2 linked regions of the Kluyveromyces lactis genome follow. The protein of the gene in region 1 interacts with the protein of each later gene in a pairwise test. Links are inferred from orthologs where the notes say so. Each region holds a gene or a part of one and is shown in the gene's direction. Other genes may lie near its edges.

Region 1 (3,286 bases):
ATTTAGCAAAATATAGTCGTAGATCGGGTTTTCACCTTTCTTGTAATTGCCTGACAGTATTTCTTCAGATAGTATCCTTGCATTCTCGCGAGGGCCCAACGATGGGCATTCTGCAAGAGTATGCTCTTGTAAACCGAAATCTGACGGGTTTATAGAGAATGATTCGACGGTACCATTCAAGGTCACATGCCAAACAATAGTGTTCCCTACAGGTGATACTTCATCGAGACCAACTTCACCCCAAACGACGAATGTTTCACTGTCAGGATAGATAAGTCTTGCTGCTTCTGCATACTCAGGTGCCAATTCCTTGGAGAAGACACCTAGAACTCTTTTTTGAACATGGGATACAGGATGCAATAACGGTCCCAAGACATTAAATATTGTTGGGATACCCAATGCTTTCCTGAGCAGAGCGACATGTTTCATACCGTCATGGAAATAAGGAGCCAATAGAAATGTGAACGAATTTTCATCCCAAATTTTAGGTAAAGTCGACGCAGTCACCTTAGATGAATCACAACCTAAAACTCCGATCAAATCACCAGCACCTGAATTGGAAGTCGATGCTTTCCCACCATGTTTACAAACCTTCAAGCCTGGGATGCCCGAAGCGACAATGGCTGCAGAAGTAGACACGTTAAAAGTGTTTTGGCCGTCACCACCTGTACCGACGATATCTAAGACAATATCATCAGTATGAGTCAAGGTCGTTGAATCGACAACAGTTGAAAACTTCAACACAGCCGAGGCAGCAGCTGCAATATATTCAGCTTTGTGATCCAATCCAGTTGCTCTCAACACTGAAAGGAAAGAGGCAATCGGTACCACAGCTTCCACAGTAAATTCCTTCGATAGCGTATCAATTATGTAAACGATAACTTCGTGCAATTCTGCAGGAGTCAAACTAGGCGGGCTCTTCAAAAGCTTCTTCGTAAAGGAAATAATACTCATAGTTACAAAATGTAGAAGCTGGTAACACAGCGATACCTTAAAGGTAGGAAGGCACTACTTAGCAGTGAGAGTAGATTTGCCGTTATTTAACGCAAAGTGATTATCTTTCTATGTACCAGTTTGATATATGTTAATGACTATATAGATCCACGGTTCGAGAAATAACAGAATATACATTGGAAAGCACGTGACTCGCTTCTCATTACCCTACCCTTCTTTGCTCGAGAGATCTCTGAAATGTTCCTGGGAACCTAGGATTCCTCGACACGAAACAATTCGAAACTTTGTTCAAATATAGAATACTGGCTAAAACAAGCCTATATTAAAATTGAAATTGGAATTACAGTTTGTTTACAGGAGTTATCGTAGCTACCTGCAGTAACAATCTGACCTTCTGTTCATTAGCAAATATAACATTGTGTGCTTCAGCAAAAGATAGTATAATTGGTACCAATTAATTGCAACGGAACTTTGAAACAATGACCACGGAAGAATTTGTAGGAATCTCGAATTTACCAAATCAGATCTACAAGCTGGTATCCAAACAAGGTGGAGTATTCACCTTGTTAACATGCGGTGAAAGTGGTTTGGGTAAAACTACCTTCATAAATACGTTGTTCCAGGCAACATTGAAGCCATCTGACTCCCATACAGGCCGTTCGATGCAAGGGCCAATTAGGAAGACCGTGGAGATTGATATATTACGTGCAGAACTAGAGGAGAAGAATTTTACCTTGAAGGTGAATGTAATTGATACTCCCGGGTTTGGTGACAACATCAATAACGATAAATCGTGGCAACAGATCATTGATTTTATAGACGATCAACACGATTCCTATATGCGTCAAGAACAACAACCATACAGAGATGTGAAATTTGATCTAAGAGTACACGCTGTACTGTACTTTATCAGACCTACAGGACATGGTTTGAAACCATTGGATATTGAAACTATGAAGAGGATCAGCACTCGTGCTAACTTAATTCCCGTAATCGCCAAGGCTGATACTTTGACAAGTCAGGAATTACAAGATTTCAAGCTTAGAATTAGACAGGTCATTGAGGCACAAGAGATTCGTATCTTTACACCACCTTTGAATGAGACACAGGATGATGCAGCCGCTATGGAACATGCTAGACAACTAATTGAATCCATGCCATTTGCAATTGTTGGTTCAGAAGAACAATTCGATAACGGTAGTGGTACCAAAGTTGTTGCAAGAAAATATCCATGGGGGTTAGTGGAAGTAGAGAATGATCAACACTGTGATTTCCGCAAATTGAGATCGTTGTTGTTGAGAACAAATCTGTTAGATCTTGTCTTATCCACTCAAGAGCTACATTACGAAACCTATAGGAGATTACGTTTGGAATCTCATTTGAATGGATCGTCTAACGATAACGAACTAGGAGAAAAATCGGCGAACAACTTCGTTGCTGCACCAGCAAGAAAATTATCACATAATCCAAAGTTCAAAGAAGAAGAAAACGCACTAAAAAAATACTTCACTGATCAAGTTAAGGCCGAAGAACAAAGATTCAGACAGTGGGAACAAAACATTGTGAATGAAAGAATTAAACTGAACGGTGATTTGGAAAAGATTCAAGCCGAAGTAAAGAAATTAGAAGATCAAGTGGCCACATTGAAATTAAGAAAACGCTAGGGTGTAATGGTTCGAAATTGTTTTTTTCATTCCCATTTATATTCCTTTTAACAACCCAATTTTTATGTTATTTTCCATTCTCACATTATTCTCATTGAATAATGCCATTTCTGAACCTTGTAGAACGATGTCCACACAGTTGTTATTTTAAACTACTTTCTATTGATCTTTCCTATATATCAATATAAGCTGTAAAGATGATATGTTATCATTATTTATTCTTTTTTTCTCTACTCGGAAGGGAGAGTATAGAAGATATTGGACTAGCGGTGGAAAGGTGAGCCTTATAGACTAATGAAAGAAAATCTTCCTCCTGCTGAGAAACTAGGAACAAACATAAATTTCAATTAAAGGAGTAGTCGCGATGATATTTATATATAAGATATAGACATAATATCAAAGCTTTGATATGGGAATCTCACCAAATTTATCAATGTGTATCTATTCTAATTCAGTGATGTACTTTTCAGCATCCAAAGCAGCCATACAACCGGAACCAGCAGATGTGATTGCTTGTCTGTATCTGGCGTCTTGAACATCACCAGCAGCAAAGACACCTGGGACATTGGTCAAAGTGGAACCTGGCACGGTCTTAACATAGCCGGCTTCGTCAAGATCAACTTGACCAGCAACAATGTTAGTGGCAGGGGTGTGACCAATGGCGTAGA
Region 2 (2,851 bases), on another chromosome or scaffold:
AGACTTTACGATTTTCTTCTTCGAATCATAAACCGCCTTACATAGAAACGGTCTATTATATAAAAAACACAGACAGTACGTAAGGCAGTAACTTGGGAAAACAAGTGCCACACAAAGTTAAAATGGGCGAGGTGAAGAGTTACTTACGAAAATGGAGACGCTCTTCCATTCTTAAAAGAAGCAGTTTGAAGGATAAACGGAAAGAAAATTGGGAACAACGTATAGAGAAGTCCTTGAGCGAATGCGATGACATTAAAAACTTATTGGCTGGTCGTCCAACGACACCTGATATTGCAAGAACGAATAATAGTACATTCCTTTCCAAGCGCTCTAGGGCTTTTGTTACAGAACCGTTATCGAACCAAGAATTGGATAAAATCAAATATATGAATTTTGCAATGGAGAGAGATTATAGAGCAGGTACTAGGCCAGTGATACCGAGAATGGATTCAACCAACAGACGAAAATTGAGCGTAAATCTCACCCCGACATCGATTTCAGCAGATGACTCCGAGAATAATGCGATAGTGAAAGACTTTTCTGAGTTCATTGAAATTTCTTTCAATAGTTTGAGCATTTCCGATGAATACACACCCCAACCAAGCTTTTCCAAAGAGTCCGAGGAACCTAGAACCGCCAGTTCTAAGAGTCTAGAAAGTCTATGGAGTAAAAATGTGAAATAGTCGTAATTGGTAACCATGTTGGGTCAACTAATGACTTATCTAACCCACGAAAAAAAGCCGTAGAAACTTGAGAAAAAATAACGGCCGCCAAAAGAAAAAAAGAAGACATGAAACCCAAGAAAAAAGAAAAAACCGGATTGGCGATGGTGAATTAGAGAGGTTAGAAAACATTAATTTTCGATCAACGAAACGTATCTGCATTCCTGAAGAGGGTGCGAAAATGAAAAATCGTGTTTTTACCTAATATAGGAATTCCTAAATTAACTGAATCCAGTAGTAGTTAACCATAGATGCGAAAAATGTCAGAAAATTGTGAAACCTAGGAATGCATGAAACATTACCACTGTGGACGCGGCCGATATATGTATATATAAACGGATAAACATGATCCAGGGTACAAAGGCCATGATTTGAATCATCAGAAACCAGGCATTGCCGAATAAAACAACCAACAGATCTGGGCCAATACTTATGATGAACGTACCTCAGATCAAGTCGATCTGGCTCGATGAAGACGATGAAACAGAAAAATTATATGGTTTACAAGCTCACCAGCTTCTGGATTCTGACGATGATGATGAATTGGGCGTTGTAATGATCAATAGTGATAAACCTGTCTTAAGTAATAGGAAAAACATTAATCTTCCTCCATTGCCGCCAAATGCGTATGATAAACAATCTGGAAAGAAATCTTTCAAGAAGAAGAAGAACAGCCTCTTAAAACTGTTTCAAAATAAATCAAGTAAAGAAGAACCTCCTAAGTTAAAAATTTCTGTCCCATTTGGATTTAATCACATCTCACATGCAGATTCTAAGGCAGGATTTGAAATGCCTACTGCAGATTCACCACCACCATCTAACAGTCACTTACAGGATATACCGGAAAATACCAAATTTCCGACAAACTCAACAATCAATTCCCCAACGCAAATGACTAAAGCTTTCGTAACAGATGCAATTCCATATGCTAAACACCATCTGGTTTCTAGAGGGTCATCTACAAAACGTTCTTCGGTTGGATCCAGTACGTACTCGAACCAAAGAGTGACATCAACTTCAACAATGGCTACCTCCTTGCTAAACGATTCGCATATGCGTTCCATTTCAAAATTAACTACCCTAGAGAAGACACATTTGAAGCATAAATATTCTCAATCAGATGCCAGTGAAGTAGATGTCGATTTCCTAAAAAACTATCAGTTCCCAACTTTGCTAGAAGAACAATCAATCCTCCAGGTATCAACACCTGAAACGGGAGACAAGAAAATAGACAAATTCCAATGGGAAACACCAGTAAATTCTGCGGATCTTTTAGAGACTATGCTTTTGGATGACTTGAAATCAGTACCAAAAAAATCAATTACACCAAAGCACTCATTGAAAAGAAACTCTGATCCAATTCTGACACCAATTTTAAGGCCATCAGAATACTTAGACTCTCCAAGAACCAGAAGGTCAGTTGATGATGTTTTATTATGCTATCTACAGCCTAGTGATGCTGGATCGTCATTGGATGAAAGCTCTAGTGAGTTTTCCTACGCTAGAAATTCAAACATTTACTATAAATCTATTCTATGATCTTCACCCGTGGCCAGGGCCATTCCATTCACTTTCACAATTGTTCTCAAGAAAATATACCCATCTTTCACTCGTTATTGCATTTACTGAAATCAGCTCTCTTTTTGATACAGATTAACCCTTCGTCGTTCATTTATTAATAATTAATCCCCAATCTGCATGTGTACAGATATACACTCATTGTACGTCTTTCAATTGGCGCCATCCAACGTTATTTTCGTTTCCAGTAAACTGTTCTTTCCAAATTAGCAATTGTACAGATAGTTTTCTTTTGTATTAACTCTGATATAAGATCATTCCCATAGCAATTATAAAGTTCTTAAGCTGAATTTGACAGAGTCCCTAGTGCGTCAAGTAGACCATTAAGAGTACGTCGAAGTTCTAGTAGTTGATAAAGTACCGGCATCGAAGCTTTGAAAGATAATTGACATTGTTTCAAAGAGCTTGGGATTGAAAGGGCACCTCCGAACATATATATAGGATCCTTCTTCACCTTTGCCAATAGTTTTTCTCTTTGTTTTCTCTTCTTTAAATTCTCATTGGTTGCTTCATCTTTCTCAGGAATGATTTCTTCGTCATTGGCAATATGC

The links.
Region 2: the proteins of CDC12 (region 1) and GIC2 interact in binary tests that used the Saccharomyces cerevisiae proteins (3 or more experiments, as listed by UniProt). The link is inferred for Kluyveromyces lactis from reciprocal best matches to the Saccharomyces cerevisiae genes CDC12 and GIC2.

What each region holds. Positions count from the first base shown.
Region 1 is NC_006041.1:1,924,628-1,927,913, forward strand, and holds CDC12 (septin CDC12), read left to right. Parts: upstream 1-1,433; coding exon 1,434-2,618; downstream 2,619-3,286. Other genes in the region: TRP4 (anthranilate phosphoribosyltransferase), read right to left, coding at 1-954; KLLA0_E21605g (thioredoxin-disulfide reductase), read right to left, coding at 3,060-3,286. UniProt on the Saccharomyces cerevisiae protein: Septins are GTPases involved in cytokinesis that assemble early in the cell cycle as a patch at the incipient bud site and form a ring approximate 15 minutes before bud emergence, which transforms into an hour-glass shaped collar of cortical filaments that spans both sides of the mother-bud neck.
Region 2 is NC_006039.1:1,288,704-1,291,554, forward strand, and holds GIC2 (Gic2p), read left to right. Parts: upstream 1-1,154; coding exon 1,155-2,261; downstream 2,262-2,851. Other genes in the region: KLLA0_C14740g (uncharacterized protein), read left to right, coding at 123-683; VMA22 (Vma22p), read right to left, coding at 2,581-2,851. UniProt on the Saccharomyces cerevisiae protein: Required for cell size and shape control, bud site selection, bud emergence, actin cytoskeletal organization, mitotic spindle orientation/positioning, and mating projection formation in response to mating pheromone.